2 linked regions of the Lonchura striata genome follow. The protein of the gene in region 1 interacts with the protein of each later gene in a pairwise test. Links are inferred from orthologs where the notes say so. Each region holds a gene or a part of one and is shown on either strand. Other genes may lie near its edges. The genes, in order: thioredoxin and FST.

The links.
Region 2: the proteins of thioredoxin (region 1) and FST interact in binary tests that used the Homo sapiens proteins (3 or more experiments, as listed by UniProt). The link is inferred for Lonchura striata from reciprocal best matches to the Homo sapiens genes TXN and FST.

What each region holds. Positions count from the first base shown.
Region 1 is NC_134642.1:61,378,736-61,386,829, forward strand, and holds the start of thioredoxin, read left to right. Parts: upstream 1-4,524; 5' UTR 4,525-4,663; coding exon 4,664-4,687; intron 4,688-8,094. UniProt on the Homo sapiens protein: Participates in various redox reactions through the reversible oxidation of its active center dithiol to a disulfide and catalyzes dithiol-disulfide exchange reactions.
Region 2 is NC_134642.1:32,791,443-32,800,554, forward strand, and holds the start of FST (follistatin), read right to left. Parts: upstream 3,545-9,112; 5' UTR 3,468-3,544; coding exon 3,386-3,467; intron 1,332-3,385; coding exon 1,140-1,331; intron 742-1,139; coding exon 523-741; intron 179-522; coding exon 1-178. UniProt on the Homo sapiens protein: Multifunctional regulatory protein whose primary function is to antagonize members of the transforming growth factor beta (TGF-beta) superfamily including activin, myostatin, GDF11 or bone morphogenetic proteins (BMPs).

The sequences.
Region 1 (8,094 bases):
GCTTTGGCACAACCTTGAAATTCTCTTTTCCTCTTTGTCCACTGCCGTCCTCAAGGCCAAGAGCCTTGTAATACCCTCCTGCAGCCCAAAGAGTCTTGCTTCTGTGTAGTAGCAGGGGACATTTGGACAGACAGATTCAGCATCATTCCCTAGGAAAATGAAGGATCCCCTAAAAAATATGTGGTTCTCTAGGGAAAAAAAAAAAAAAAAGACACAACATGTATTGTAGAAAAAAAAATGCAGATCTGCTTGCTCTAGACTGCTCTGCTACCCAAGGAAGAACAGAGGCTGAGAGCATGGAGGAGATGACTGAGTTTGAGACACTTAAGGCAAATACATGTGTTTGTCTTGACATGAGGCCTGAAGTGTCTCGATAACAGAGAGTGCATATAAGCATTCCCATGTTCACAGACCTCCTGTCAGGGTACCTTCCTTTGTGGAGACCCACAACATGGCATAAACCCAGGTGAGCTCACAGAAGCTTTCTTTAAAAAACAGGTTCCTTCTAATACAAGTCCAAAAAGTAGTAGCTTCATCAGTTCTGGACTGTTTTGAAATTCTTTTCTCCAAAGATTCAAAAATGAAGCAAAAATGAGGGAAGGGAACATGTATGTAAGGGAAGTGACTTGGATGTTTTCTTGATTCTCAGAAGGGCTTTGTTAACCAACATACCCCCATGGTAAGGGGAGATGAACTGCGGTCAAGATCTTTATTTCCCTTTTTTTCCCCCACATTTTACTCAGCTTCTCTCTTTTTTAATCATACATGCTACACCAAGCATTCAAAAGACTCTAGGCAATTACATCTGCAGTACATCAGCCTGCAAGAGAGAAAGAAGTATGTTTCCTCTGTGACTTATGCTGGCACAACACCAAGCACACCTATCCAATTATTAAACATTTATTGCACCTTTAATACATGAGTTACAAAAGCAAAATCCTCCAGAAGGGCAGGCTGGAAGGAAAGGGAAAGTACAATTAAAGGTTGCTGCCCTGTTGCAATGTCAGGGCCAGATGTTACACTCTCAATTTACATTGCAAGACAATGGCAAATAACCTGGCCTTCCTATGGTAAAATCTGATGCTCCTATGGCTGGAGTTGTTGCCTCTAGCAGCTGCCTCATTTCTGCAGCTGGATGCACCATTTTGTAATGTTGGACATGACTGACCATCTGTGCCATGGCTGTAGTATTATTATCCTTGTAGCTGTGCCTTTTATTGAATGACACATTTGAGAGGTCAGGACACTTAAGAGTGGTTTTAGGAGACAGAAGTTTTTCTTAGATATGCTCATGGATGTGCAGTTGCAGACCTACAGCCTACCTTGGGTCTCACCACGCCATGGCATTCCTCCATCCACCAACATGCACTGGCATACAAAGAAAAGAAAAAGCAAGCCCTGGAAAGGTAATTCATGGTCCCAAAGCCTTTAAACTACAGATCTGGAAAGCCATGTGGAGCTGGGGGGGCATCACACCGGGACCGTGTGTCACAGCTCTGGCTCATTCATCCAGAGGGACACCATGATTTACAACCTGCCTTGCTGGTCATCCTGTCAGGGATTACTGCTGCTCACCTTTTCTACCCTCCTTCCCACCTCTCCCAGCAGCTCAGAAGGAACTGAAACTGTAATTTGCTCAGCCTCCCAAAACCCTACTGCATGTCAGACCCTGAGCACACCCCGAGTTCACCTCCAGGGTGAAGCTCTTTCCTACTGCTGGCCCATGTTGCTCTCACCTAACAGGTGACATCAAACAACACAAACAAAGCCCAAAAAATAAAGGATGCCTTCCACCACAGGAGCTTTAAAGGTGACTAAAACAACACAAATTGAATTCCCACCTGGATGTTTGTGATGACTGTGGCATAGCATGAGCTCTCCAAAAATACAGTCCTTTTTACTGGCCTACACCTAAGTGGTACTGATTAATTCACTTGAGGGCACCTAAATTTAGACCTTCTGACTTCCTCTCCCACATGTTTTGCACACATCCAAGGAGCGTGGCAAAGATATACTCAGTTATAGTGCATGGGTGGCTCAGTCATTTCTCTATGTCTCCAGACTTTCTGCAAGAGAAACTATCTAGGGACTAATTTTTGAAAGTTACATTGCCTTTTCACTCTGCCCCTCCTCAGACCACATTTTCTGACTTCCAGAAGCAAGCAAACACACCCTCCTGAATGTCTTTAAGTGCTTCCTCATTCTCTGTCAGCCCAGATTTGCAAAGAGCCATCTACTGGCCACCGTCCTACCCAGTGACTCCTGGGTATGACACATCATACAGCAGTCTGCTGAATCATGAAATTCACGTGATTTTCAACTTCTCCACAGCCAACTTGCATATTTTTAACATCCACTCTCCAGCAGCCTGGGGGAGAGAAGTATGTTGCATTTGTGGTTGTGAGGAAAGTGGGTGGGAGTGAGGGCACCTGAGAAGCTGAGGCTCCTATGGATGAGTGACTGTGTACATGGGACAGCCACAGCATTGCTGAGCTAAACAATGAGATATTCCACAGTTTAAAAAAACAAAACACCCATTTAGAGGATACACATTGCTCTGTAGCATTTTTATTATGTGCTGTCATGATAGTAATTACAACAATTTAAGAATCAAGCACAGATCACATATATTATATTACTGTCCAGTTATTTTAGGCATCCATACAACAATCATACAGCAACATTTTGAACTTCAAACTGCTGTATGCCTAAGCCTGTTAAGTCAAGTGACTGTGAGCACAGCAAGAGATGAGTGGCCACATATGGCACCTAAGAAAAGACACACTTTTCCTTCTAGTTTAGAGAGGGTTTACCCACCCACACTTGCCTTTAGAAGGCTGTTGGTTTCTAAGAATTTATTGTTTGGGTGGGTTGTTCCCTGCATTTGCTTGCACTGGCTTCTGCAAGAGCCACATAATGCTTGGCTGAGGTGGGGAATTCAGGAGTTGGACTTTGAAAGTAGTCTGGGCTTCTTAATTTATCCTGCCAGGCCGCAGGTTGTAGAGAAAGGTGCCTTGGCTGATGAGGAATTCCTGCTTTCTTCTGAGCAGCAGCTGCACCTCCCCAAAGCAGCACAGGACACATGTACCAGTTGTGTTTGTCAGCCACAAGGCACATGGACACAAGGGCAGCAGGGACCAGCTGGAGGAAGCTGGATGAAAATACAAAAGCCAACAGAAACCACTAAGCCTTCATGGTGCTGCTTCTCACCCACTGGCATCCTGGCTCCTCTAGTGATGCTGCCAAAGAAAAAAAAGGAGATGCTCATGGTATCTAACAGGTGGGGGAAGAAGCAGAAAGAGCAGCAATCAAAGTGTTTCAGGCAGACAAAACCTATCAGGTCTGGAAAGATATAGACAGGGGATGCAACCATAGGGCCAGAAAAGAGCTTACTAGTTTTCCTGCAGTAGTATGACACACACTTAATAAACTTCCAAAATAAAAAATTACTTACTCAGTTTCTACCACAAGTAAAGCAACATATGAGGGCATATCCTGTTGGGATGGGTTGGTACCTGTATCCAAGGCAAACTGTCTTTTGTTTTCTTTTTCTTTTCAAGAAAGAACTGTATTTCTTTTTTTATCCAGGACCTGCACTAAGTCTTCTCACCTTCTGCTCAGGTGTATCCCAGAGCAAACTTTCACAGGCTGCTAACCCAGCTGCTAAAACCTGCAGAAACAGCCCGTTCGTGACACAGCTGGCACCAATATCCCAACACCTAACCTTTCCTGGGTCCCGTGCAGTAGGAACTGGAGTCAGCAACGTCCAGAGTCCAACATTAAACCCTACCAGCCCAACAGAAGGAGAACAGGGCTGTGGCAGGCCTGTTTTGCACTGTGGGGTGAGCTGTGGCACAGCTTGCGATGAAACAAGGGACGTCTCCAAAACACAGAGAAAAAAACCAAGATGGATGGAACTTGTAGGTTCCACCAGAGAACCCCCTCGGATGGGAACGCTAAGCTATTCCCTTGAGGAGTCTTTCTGGCTGAGTCCCTGCATGAGGGGAGCTACGGGAGGCGGTCAGAGTTTAACCCCGGGTTAAACACCGCAGCCTTCCGCGCTGCACAAGGGCCCACATCCCACAGAGCAAGGGCGCCACTCCCTGCTTTTGGTGGTGGGAAGGAAAACAACAAGGGAAAAAAAGTAACAAGGAAAAAAATATTCCCGTCATTTATTCCTGCCTTCCACTCTGCCCGCATTACGGGCAACACCAGCTCCCTTTCTCGTAAGGCGAGCAAAACGCCGCGTCAGACAGAGCCGCTCCCCGCGGGGACGTGATGGGGGGGGGGGGGGGGGGAGGGGGAGGGGCCAAGCAACTTCCTGCTCATCGTTACACAGCACTTTTCCAACCTCCTTGGGCTTTCTTTCTTCCGCTGCTGCTGCCGGTTCCCCCGGCAGCCGGCAGGGACGCACGCTCCCCTCCCGGGCCGCCGCCCCTCAGCGGGGCCCCAGCGGCGCCGCGGGCAGCGGCAGCGCCAGGAGGCGGGTCGCCCCTGCGCATGCGCGGCGCGGCGCCGTGCTGGGCATAAAAGGGCGGCCGGGGCGGGCCGGAGACGCGCTGGGACGGCGGGAGGCAAGGCGGGAAGCTGAGCCTTGTGTGGCGACGAATCCCTTGGTTCCTTGCCTTTACAGCACCGACTCTCCTTTCCCACCGTCGCCGCCATGGTGAAGATCGTGAGCAGCCTGGTGAGCCCGATGGGCGAGGCGGTCGTGTCGTTTCGCCGTGAGAGCGGCGCCCGGCGGGACGAGCATCATCGCCCGGCGGGCGGGCGGGCGGGCGGGGATTAGCAGTGCCCGGCGCGGTTTGGCCGGCGGGGGATCGTGCTCGGGCTGCCCCGGGCCCTCGAGGGCCCGCGGGAGATGGCGGCTGCGAGCCCGTGTGCTGCCCGGGCAGGCGGAGCCTGCTTCGCCCATGCGGCGCGGCCGGGGGAAGCCGCGCGGAGGGCTCGGCCGGGGCAGGGTTGGGAACTAATAACTGCGGACCTGAGGCTTCGGGGAGTCGGAGTGAGCGGGGACGTGATGCAGTCTCGCCTTATGACGGGCTGTTCATCGCTCTTTTAAGGAAAAGGTTTCGTTTCTCAAGCGGATAGCAGGGCACTACAGCGACAGGCGGAGAGAACGCAGTCTTAAGCTGCGTCAAAGGAGGTTTAGGTTGGACATAAGGATGAATTTCTTAAAAGACAGGGTGATTTGGCGTTGGGGTACGCTTCACAGGGAAGTGGTTGAGTCACTGTCCTCGCAGATGTTTAAAGAACTCGACATGGCGCTGAGTGCCATGGTCTGGTTGACAGTGTGGTGTTGGGTCACATCTCGGACTCGATGATCTCGGGGGTCTTTTCCAACCTAACTGATTTTGTGATATAGTATCTTGATTTGGCAGTTCTGATTTGTTTTATGTACTGCTAGTGTGTAGGGGACTAGGTGGCTTTCTTAGAGTTTGGCCTGTTGCACTTCTGGGGAGGACATCGTGCAAGAGTTCATCCATTCTTGACTTGAAAGGAACTGCTAGAGCCCATTCCCCGTGCTTAAACAGCAGGAGTTGCTGGCATAAGAAGTATTTCCCTTGTTATGGTGCTGTCTGTTGTATTCACAACCCTAATGCAGCACATCACTGTTTGGATGATTCTGTGAATACAAACACATCTGTGGCTCTGAGATAGAAAGTAGTAATAAAGCCTAGACACATGGAGAATATCCTGCTGGTGATGAAATAGTATGTGGTTTTGTGCACAGCAGCTGATCTGGTTGATAGACAACAATAGAGTACTTGTTAGCTGTAACTTAGGAACCCAAGTCTCGAAAAATATTCTCCATGCAAACTTAGCAAGTTCTTAATTTCAGGAAAAATCCTGTTGGGCTAGTCTCACCCTTTTGAACTTGGAATCTGGTGCAAATGTCAGTTTGATCTCATTTTTGAGGCATCTGCAAGTGATGGTGTGTGGGTATCCTGTAAGGCCCCAAAAAGTCGCTCAGCAAGATCTTTAACAGGGCTTACAGTTAACAGGTCTTTGACAGGGCTCATTTACTCTGAGTTAGACACGGGAGAAATACTGTCAAGATATTCTCAAGAGGTCAAAAAAGACTTTACTGGCAACTTTAGAAAATCAAAGAACTTTGGCAAAAGGTTTTGTGTAACATTCAGTTAACATAAAACACTTCCCAAAGCATTAACTTAGCCCATTCAACTTGGCAAGCTCTAAACGTGTTTGATTTCAAGTCACTCAAAAATTATGAGAGGAGAGACTTAGAAGAAAAAGATAGAAGAGATATTAAAAAGGGCACATACAGCTACTAACTGCTGGGTTCTAGCAGTGTTCAGCTGATAGAAATTCCAAGAGGAGGCAGGGTCAAGACATATGCTTGCAGCATGTTTGGCCTTAAGTGCCCCTTGCCTATAGCGTGCCCATGGTTGGTGGTCACTGTCTGGGAGAAAGGCTCTAGGGATGCGGGTGTGCACTGCCTCACCAGAGCAAGGTCTGATCTGCCCCTTCCCCCACACATTTGCACCTCAAAATGTTTTGAGACCTCAGTCTTTCCAGTCTCTCAAACATCCAAGTTTGTTTTCTAGGCCGTGCTCTTCTACAGTCAGTTCGCTTTATATATGAAAGGCATGTCAAACCTCTCCCACTGGACCGCAAATTGTTGGAATCTGATACATAAATATACAAATTAACACTTGTGACCACAGCTCAAAAGCAGGTGAATGCACAAACCTCCTTAAGAGGAATGAAATGCCTTACCATTTCAGGTTCTGAAGAGAGAATGGTGTGTGACTACAACCTAGAATTGTTCTGCTTTGTATCTCTTCCCCCTTCTCTGTCTATGGTGCCACAGAAGGGGCAAACTTTTGGTGTAAGGGTGTAACAGATTAAACATGGCAAGTCAAACCTGGCTCTGGAGGAGGAGCCTACTCTTTAGGCAGGCTTTCACTATCCTCCTAGCTATGAGTGTTGTTTAACAGTCTGCTGTAGCTAAAGCGAACTTTGGTTTTGCATTCATGGACAGTGTGAACTCGGCAGTCATGCTGACAACAGCATTTTAACCTCGGTGACACCCAGAGTATTCAAGTGCAGTGCAGCTGGGATTTCTGGATTAATTCTGGTTTTCAGTAAAGCAGGTTTGTATTATTCTCTGATACAAAGGGTAAAAACCCATTCTTGCACTGTCTGCAAGAGCTTCTATGAGTGAGAGCTAGGTAGGTGTGGCCCTTTTCCCTGCACACCTCCTCAGAAGGAGACTGGCTTCTGAAGAATGTCTACTTTCAGGGTGCCTGACTGTTCCTTCTGTAGTACCTGCTATAGCACAGAAGGAGATGTATTGTTACTGTTTTTTAGTGGCCTTGAGGTGAGTGACTAGTGTAATTTGTAAGAGGGTTTGACTATGGGACATACTGCTTTTTATAGCCAAAGCTAATGGGGTGTATAAAATTAAAAAGCTGCCAAAGCTTTTCTCTTCATTCTAGCTGCCTCTCTTGTTATTTAAGTTAAAGAAGATGCTGAAAAATTGCAGCTTTTGCTGTAAGTGATAATTTTAGAGGTGGTGTGTGCTAGGGAGTTCAGGCAGTTGAACCTTTGCTTTGTTTATGCTAGCTTCTGTATTTTAAAAAACCTCTCTAGATTACATTGGCACTCAGCCGATGACTGGGTGAATTCAAGGGTGACTTGAGAAAATAATGTTTACAACCAAGCTGTAATCAAATATGCCAGATAGTGTGGACCTATATTATCTGTTGCTGAGAGCAGCAGACTCCTTTCAGCACCATCTGAAGGAGGCCAGCAGCCTCCTTTTTGAAGCACTACCTGGTGCTGGGAACCTCTGAGGCAGTAGAGGCTTTCATTATTAGAGCTTCTTATTTGGCCCTAGGGAACAGATGCCTGCTACCAATGTGTTTGTTGAAGGTACCAAGTTTCTTTTCTGCTGGACAACAATACAAGTAAAATGAGGTCTTGTGTTCAGGGAGATTGTAGTTAAATATTTAAGGAAAAAAAAAAACAACCAAACAACAATAAAAAAACCACCACCACAAGGAACCAACCAATATTGACCATCATGCTAGCTGAGGTTTCCCCCAGTGTGCTGTTACCCAGAGAAAA
Region 2 (9,112 bases), about 29 Mb from region 1:
CAGGTAGCTTTCCTCAGGTGGCAGGCACTGGCGTAAGTTATGCCGTCATTCCCACAGAGATACTGTTCAGCGGAGGTAGGCTCTGGACAAATTCGGTTACATGTCACACAATACGCGTTGTTGGTTTGGTCGACCACACATGTGGAGCTGCCTGGGCATAAGACATCTCTGCAGGTTTCTGAAATAAAGACAGAAACAAAGTGATTAGTAGAAGATACTAGGACCCCAGTGATGAGTGTACAGGTGACAACAAGAACAAATGGCCATATAAAAGCCTTCAGCAGCTCTCCTCGTTTAAGGGCTGCTGGATGATGCCTTCATATCTCAGGGTAGCTGTGTGAACAAAAGTGCTGCCAGACTATGGGGAGCTTTGGTTCAACTACATCCTTGTCTGCTGAGCACGGTCTAGTTACTCTCTCCCAGCCTGGTTCCTATGAGGAAGTACACCCAATATCTCCTTCCTACTCTCAGACAGAAACCCTTTGGCATTTGAGGGAGATTGGATTAGATTTGCAAACCTACTTTTGCATTTGCCCTGATACTGGACTTCAAGTTCAGGCTGTTCTTTACATCTGGCTTTGAGAAGGGCGCACTCGTTCCTGTAGGTTTTCCCATCTAAGCCACACACGGGACCCTTCCAAGTGATATTAGAGCAATCCGGAGCACAAACACACCGAGGTTTGTTCTTCTTGTTCATTTTACATTTCTTCCCGGGTCCACAGTCCACATTCTCGCATGTTTCTGATGGAAGGAAAGAGGCACCACTTTAGTACCAAGTGTGCAGAAGAGACCTGGTGTCAAAACTGCTTAAAGAAAGAAAGATACCGTGAACCCAGAGCACAGAGCAAAAACACCGTTCCCTCCCGTTCCAGGACACGCCGCTGGAGGTAAATTCCCTCCCGCCAGTGAAGGCAGGGGGGAGAGAGGGTCTCTCCCATCCTCCTTGTGAAGTGCAAGGCGGCAGGCAGAAATGGGGGGTCCCCCCCCACGATCCCGGGGCTGGTACGAGACGTCCCTCAAAATCCCGACGAGGAAGGAAGCAAGAGAACAGGGCTGCCCCCCCACAACTCCCTCCCCGCTCCTCCTCCCCCTGCCGGAGCCGCTCCTCAGCGGGGAGCAGCTCGCCAGCACCCCCTCACCTTTGCATGGGATGCAGTTTGGGGCTCCCCCATTAAAAATCATCCACTTAAAAAGCGTATTGTCGTTGACGTCCTCCGCCGTCCACGACGTGGTCAGGCGGCCGCTCTTGCAGCACTCCTCCTTGCTGAGGTCGGTTTTGTAGAGGACCTGGCAGCGCCCGTTCCGCGCCTGGCGGAGCCAGCAGTTCCCAGCTGTGGGGCGGGGGGCGGGGGGGACACCCAGACGGATCAGTGGCGGCCACCAATGACCCAGACACAGCACGTGCGCCTTGCCGTGACTTTTACTAGACTGCTTCCTTTTATTTGTCCCGTTTCATAACCCGCAGCTACTACGGCCCATTTGGAAGCGCAGTTTAAAAAACAAACAAACCCTCCCCCCCCCCCACCAAAACCCAACCGAACAAAAAAATCCTCCCTAAAACCACAAAAGAACTAAAAAACCCAAACCAAGAAAACAAAACAAAGTCCAAAACAAAACAAAACAAAATGAACGAAAGAGAAGACCGAACCAAAACAGAGCTAGAGTTTTTGGAGGTATTTATTCCATATGTAGAGCAGAAGGAGCACTGCCGACACGTGACAGAGGCTTGAAAAGGATGTGCATTTAAAAGGGAATAAAAAGAAAATCGCGCTTGCAAATTCCTTCCTCCTCCCCCTGCCCTCTCCTCCTCACCGCGGCTGCACAACAGCATTGTTTTAGTGCTGCACAGTTTCACTCCCAGCCCATTTTGCAATCTGCACGAATTTGGAACATTTGCTGTTAGCGAAGTCTTTCGAAATCGCCACATTTTGCTGTTTCTATTAACAAATGTCTCCTTCACTAACATAATTCAGCAGAGTTCCAAAAAAAAAAAAGTGGGCAAAGTACATAAAATACAAGGACACTTATAGTAGGAGGTCCCTATAGAGTTTTAAAAATCGATCAAGCTGGCAAAGTTATAGGTTCCATCTCTCCTGCAAACATTTCAGAGGAAAGTACACTGTCCTTACACAGGATAGAGTGGGTTTTCTTGGGGTTATTTTTTGTCTTCCTCCCCCCCCCCCCCCCCCCCGCCCCCCCGCCCCCCCCCGTATCCCTGTTATTTGTGGAGTCCAGCCAAGAACATTGGTCCAAGCAACTCCCCCTTTTTTAGCTGAAGCATTTTAGTTGAGATGGGTCTCCCGTGAATAACCAATGTGACTTCTCCAGCAACTCAATACCAATTGACTCTCCCGCTAATCCAGCCAGGGCTCGATCCTTCCTCCTTACTCCGATAGGAATGTACCGCAGCGCGGGGTGAGGATCGGCCACAGCAGAGATGTTGCTGAGCGCGGGGGAAGACACCCCCCCCCCCCCCCCCACCCCGCTAAAAATCATTAAATCATTGAACAAACAATGCCCTTATTAAAAAAATAAAAAGTTTTATGTCTTACAGTTGGCTAGGTTAGATTAATTATCGGTACTGGGGAAGAGAAAAAGAAAAGAAAGAATTATAAAAGAAGCAATGCCAAGACGTCCAGGTTGGAACATGGTCAAGAATAGGGGAAAAGCCCACAAACTAAAGATCAATATTCCCTTGTGTCGAAAGAGGGCTCTTAAGAGTTGTCAATATCAGATTCGGGTTTGTTTTGTTCACACGAGGAAAAAAAAAAAAAAAAAACCACACCAAAAAAAACCCCAAAAAACCACCACCAACTCACCAACTTATTTAAGCATACTCTTCAGTGCAGGAGAATTTACAACGTTAATATTTACTCAGACACACACTCAAAAAAAAAAAAAAAAAAAAAAAAGAGTAGGGAGGAGGAGAAAATCCCAATATTAAAGTCAATAAAATGACCACTTATTGGTTTCTAAAAATGTCAGATGTAATCCTGGGGTTCTCCATCACCACCTCTCCTTCAGTCAGTTAGGAGAAATAAAAATCTGAACTAAATTACCAACAAACTTCGTGCATTCATTCGGGAGCCGAGACTGGGAAAGTTCCCTCACGATGCTGCTCTTCATTCACGCTCCATAATAACAATAAAAAAACAAGAAATAGCCTATCTGTCCTCTGTTCCTTTGCTGAGCAGTGCGAAGATCCGATTAAAAAGGGATCTAAATGACACCTCTGCACCTCGCTACAAAGCCCATAGTTAACTTCTGTTCTGTTGGACCTTGGAGAGAGGCGTTTAACACCGCAGCAAACTAAACCCTGCCCGAAAGACGGAAAACATTAGTAATAATAAAGAAACATATGTGCGAATAAACAGTCTGGTCTTACCCTGCACTGTGTGATCTTCCATGAAGTGGCACAGAAACATCAGGATTAAGAGCATGCCCGGGTGGATTCTCTGATTTAACATCCTCAGTATAGCAGGGAGTGAGAGAGACGCAGAGACAGCGTGAGGGGGAGTAAGGAGAGGGAGCGAGCGCTAGCCAGCCTGCTTATGATCGCTCTATTGAATGAACGTCAGGCTCTGAATGCAGTCTCTCTTTAAATCTATACGGGGGTCCTAGCTGTCTGCGGTGGGCGGTCTCCTAATGTGTGTGTGTGTCGGGGGTGGGGAGATTTAAAAAGTTCAGTGTGAATCAGGTGACATTTCCCACCTTCTGGAAACCCTCTCCAATTATCCGCTCTAGGTGCACGCATACACAGGCGCGCACCCGCGCACCCTGAGCGGCGGAGCCGCCGGCGGGGGCAGCGGCGGGAGCGGCCCCGGCCCGGCCCGGCCCGGCCCGGCCCCGGCTGCAGCCCCCGCCGCGGAGCCGCCGCGGCCGCGCAAGCGCCACGGGAGGCTGGAGACCCGCGGGGGGTCGCGGCCGCCCCAGGGGCGCCCTGGCCCCTCCGGCGGGCTGGGGGTGCTGCCGGGGCGCGGAGCGGAGCCCGCCCGGAATCGGCTCCGCGGGCGTGGTCTCAGCGCGAGGTGGCTGCGGGGGATAACATCCCACTCCCTGCACCTCCGCCGGCCGGGCGGACAGATCGCTCGGCCCAAAGAAACCCCAAACCCCGATCGACTAGCCCCAAACCTGAAAAAAACCCAAACCCCTAAAAGACAGAACCGGCTAAAAGTTTAATACCTAGGGCCGTTCCCGGGTGATAGGCTTTTCATTGGGAGAGCCCGGGAGGACGAGACGGCAACGGGGGCGACGTAGGCGGTCTCCTTTCAGAAACAGAAAGATTGCAACATCGATAATGAACTTCTAGGGCACTAGTTTATTAAGCACAGTCTGGCATTATTCTCTCCTTAGAAAAGTTGGCGGTCTCTCATTTATAACATTTTTTGGCACCGCTGAATGAAACTGAGTAGGCGATATTTCCTTTTATACAAAACGATTACTTAACGGAAAATGGTATTGTTTATTCAAAAGCTGCCTTTTAAATTTCGATTCTTTCGCTTTTCTGAGCCACCAAAGCACAACAGACTGCGAAGTATGCAGACAGGAATGCCCGGACAGTGCCGGGTCAGGGGCCGGTGCGCCGCGGCCGCCCGCGCCCTCCGCCCGGCCTTCCCCATACCCCTCCTCCCCGCTCCCGCCCCCCCACCTCCCCCTCCCGACTGCCCCCTCCCCACAACTGCAAATAACTCAGTGATAACAGATTTTTTTCCACCAACTGCAGGAGATAGTGCTAATCTTTTAATAAAAGATCCCATTACAATGGGATCTGTCTGGACAGACTATAATAGATCCAGAAATACAGCCGTGCTAATATTAGAAGACAGTTGTTTGGGTGCCTCAGGCCGGGCCCTGGTCCCGCTTTGAAAGTGGGCATGAATCACAATGTCCCTCGGTACCACCTGCGGTCACACGCATTAAGGAGCAGACTGGTAAATGATTGACCTCGCTGCGGTTTTTTTTTTGGCTGTTTTTTTTTTTTTTTAAATTATTATTATGATCCTCGTCCTCCTCGTCCTGAGCATCGCCCGGGCATTTTAAGCACTTCAGAAGCTCCGGGACTCCACATCCTTTTTAATCTTTTCCCAGATTGGTGCCACTCTCCCCCTGCCCCCCGCCCCTGCTGCCGGAGCCGCGCTCATGCGGGGTTGCGTAGTGCCCTCTAACGGCGGCGGCGCGCAGCGGCAGCGCCCGCGCCCCGGCCCGAGCCGCCCCTGGCCGCGCCGGGTTCGCGTCCCGGGCAGCGCCGGCGCCCGGCCGCAAGGTGCTGCGGGGCCGCTCCGGGGCCGCTGTGCCCGCGGGCTGCGGGCACACCCGCTGCGCAGCTCGGGCGGCAGCACAGCTCCCGCCGGGGCAGCGCTGGTGCCGGGGCTGGTCCGGGAGGAGTCCCGCGGGAGGCTCGGAGGGATCCCGGCGGTGGCGCGGGGCGCGCTGGCGGCTGCTCCCGAGCTCGGCTGGGCTCGGCCCGGCACTGCACGGCTGCCCGGAGGGCTGCGGGGTCAGGCTCACCTTCCCGTGTTCCGTTTGTGTATGTTTTTTAGTAATTGGCCAATACAGTGTTTATCCTGAAAATGTTTTCAGTTATAGAGGGGCGTTTTCAGGCCGTGTTCCTGGAAATGAAACGCAGAATGGGTCGATAAGGTTTACACATGTGCTTTATGCATGCATCATCGGGAGATCAATATGATTGCCCTGGTATGGAGATTTGTATCACACCTGTTCTCTGACATCACTTAGAAACAGCTGCTGTTTCTTTTACTGTTTCCCCCCCCCCCTTTTTTTTTTTTTAATTTTATTTTTCTTTTTTAAAATGCTAGATACTGGATTTGTGAGTAAGAACATGTCAGGGACATATTATGTAATCAGACATGATTTCTTCTTTCTCACTATGTGTGCTGCTCTTTATAACTCCCCCACCCCTTTCTGCTTTGCCAACAATCATATTTAAATTACCAAAAAAACAATAGCGTCGATCTGTAACTGAACTGTCAGGCAGCACAAGAAAAGAGTGTTGTTTTCAGTCTGACAGGTTTCACAACTTTTTTCTACCAAGAAATGTATGCATTTTAATATAGGCTTTTGGACGTGAATCCAATCTTTGCAGCTGGCCCTGATCTTAGAATAATAGAGCTTTTAAAAAAAACCCTTATATACTTACATCTCAGACTTTCAGAAAGTTCAGATTTGGTTCTCAATTTACATATTTATGTGTTCTAATATAGCAATAGCCATAGCTACAGCTACAGCAAACTCCATAATACAAAATATTAAGTGGCTGGCCTCTGAAAAAAATAGCAGCAAAATATGAAGAAGGAGGAAAAGTAATCAGCAAGTTACCTTGTCAATATGTGCTATTAATTCACACACAGATGCAGACACACACATACATACACATATGTGGAATATTAACCTTGTGATGTCAATATTAACTATGTGATGTACTAGTATTGATATTACCTTTTACGCCCTTCCCCTCACTCTGTTGCCTAACAGAAGAGTGGTTGCTGGTATCAGGAGTGGACCACCTAGGAACCCCCTCTTTGATAAGGAACATGTTTGCAATAAAATTTTTTAGGTTGTGGATAGGACTCCATGCCAAAACCGATTATTTGGAAGAGATATGGATTTTGATCAAGCGCAAATGGGAAGGTCTATCCTGGCAATCTAACATTCAAGGGAGCTAAAAAAGACTCAGACACCCTCCTGTGGTCCTGGATGCATGTATGCATCATCCCATGCAGTTTCTCACACAACTAGCCTCTCCCACTCAAATAAAGGTAGAACGTCCTCTTCTGGTAGAAGACTTGTTACCTTGCTTTGTTCCCATCTAATTGCACTGATTATCACAAAAAGAAGGGCCTGTTTCTGAAAAACTGCAATTTCATGTAGGCTCTCCTCATTTGCATCTTAGATACTAGACTGAAGGACTTTTCTGAGTACCATTGTATTGTACTATTTGAAAAGCTTTCCCTCCACTTTTTCTTTTTAAGTATGGGAGAATAATTACAGACCTTAAATAACTTTTCTGTAGAAATTTCATGTGCTATTTCTTGGAAAAATGTAGCATAAAAAATTGTATTACAAAATTTGATTTCTTGATTTGACCAAGACCTTTTGTGAAAAACAAGTAAGTTCCTGATGAAACTAAGCTCTAAAATATGTGAGCTGAATTTTAATATCAAGTATTGGCTATGTGTGCTATTCCACTGAAATTGTTCCTGCACATCAGTGAGACTATTAAACATAGAACTTGCAGTGCATGCTCTTGGGGAGTGTTGTGCTTATCGGATGAATACAGAGATGCTGAACAGTTGTTTTTTCTTTTTTTATTAAATTGACCCAAGAGGTTATGGTGGGCAATGGACTGGATAAAGAGGTAGTAGGGAACTTACCTAATAAATAACACTGGTAAAACTGTTCATTCTGGTTCACACTGCAGAAAGGTCATGTAGGCAGGTGTCATTCATGTTTTCGGTCAAATAATATTGACATATATGTGATATGAGCCAAACTGACCCCTTCCTTACCTCCCTTTGGTGGTTCAGGAAGTAGTAACAGAAATGTGTATCCCCTAACAGTTTGAAAGATACCTACCTCTTACTGGAAGTACAAACATGACAATGTCCAAAGACATTCTCTTGTCTTGTGCTGGCAGTACCACAGACCAACACAAGGAACTGCAGCAAGTCTTATTATTCAGTACCCATTGCAAACGGGATGTGGTGTGGCAAGACGAGGTTTAATGTGCCAGTGGAATGAAAACAGGTTATTAAACAAATTGCAAAATCTTTCTGGATTGTTGAAAATTTGGACAAAATTGTGAAATTCCAGTAGAAAATGGTATTGGAAAAAACTATAAGGGAACTCTTAAAAACATTAACTATCTAAGGAATCAAAATTAAAAAAATTATGAAGGAGTCTACTGATCTATTTCTTTCCTGATTTGTTGAAGAGGTGCTCCTCTGTATAGTTTCAGACAATATTAAACAACTAGAAATGTGCAATAGATCATGGAATTTCTGGGACAGGTCTTTCACCTTGTTGGGATTGTAATGTTTTCAAGAGTACCAGGAATTCAGATGTAGATTCTAAATTAATTTTTTAAAATTTAAAAAAACTGTTAAAAAGGAAAGAAAAGATAATTATTGTGGGAAACTTGCTCTTCACAGTTTTTAGGATGCTGCTACTGTAAAGAAATGCCAGAAGGACAGCACTGCTAGTTCGAGACAGCCCATTTACACATGAAGGCTTAAGAAGAGGCATGGTAGGAGGGAGCATGGAGTTTGCATAACAGTCAAGGCAGAACAGCCCCTGGAAGGCCATTTCAACCTTTGGCTGTCTGAAGTCATGTGTTAAGTGAAGGATGGCTCTTGCCCAGCTTCCTGACAGGCAAATTGCATTTTATACTTCCACAACTATTCCAAGTGAAGCTATGTCATTCTTGGTGACCAAACTTCAAATTTTTAAGTTGTAATTAGAGATGAGGAGCACAGTGCTTTCACAATGGCTAAATCAGATTATGTGTGGGTATTGTGCTTTTGAAGTCTGCAGCATTTTGTAAAGCAGACTTCAAGAGACATATAAGTTGGCAATCAGTTGCAGCTGAACCAGGTCTGGAGACTAAACCAAAGATATAATGAGGACAGACATAGTTTGTAAACAACTACTTTGAAAATTAAGTCAGTTTTTGCCATTACTTTACATTTCTTTTTGTTAGTTTTTTGTCTACTTATTAGAATTAATGTGAAGTGCATATCTGATTATTTGGAAGTGTGGAGTCACATAACTCTCTAATCCCAAAAAAGTCTGTGTTTGACTGTAGGTCCTGGATTGGAGCTTAATGGAAAAAAAAAAAAAATCACTATTAAGAATGATAGTCAACTTTGACAAGCTGAATGTAGCAACATAAAAAGGGTAATAAATGGAGAGCTTCCAGCTCAATGCATATATCTGGTGATATATGTACTGGATTGTGTTTCTAGACTAAGAGAGTAAGTGCTTGACTGCATCAAAGTTACAGGCTTGCTAAGGACAGATCATTAACTTCTTGTTGTGTGGTTTGTATTTACTTTATTGCCAATCTAGGAAGAGGATCAATTTTAGTGGCTTACTT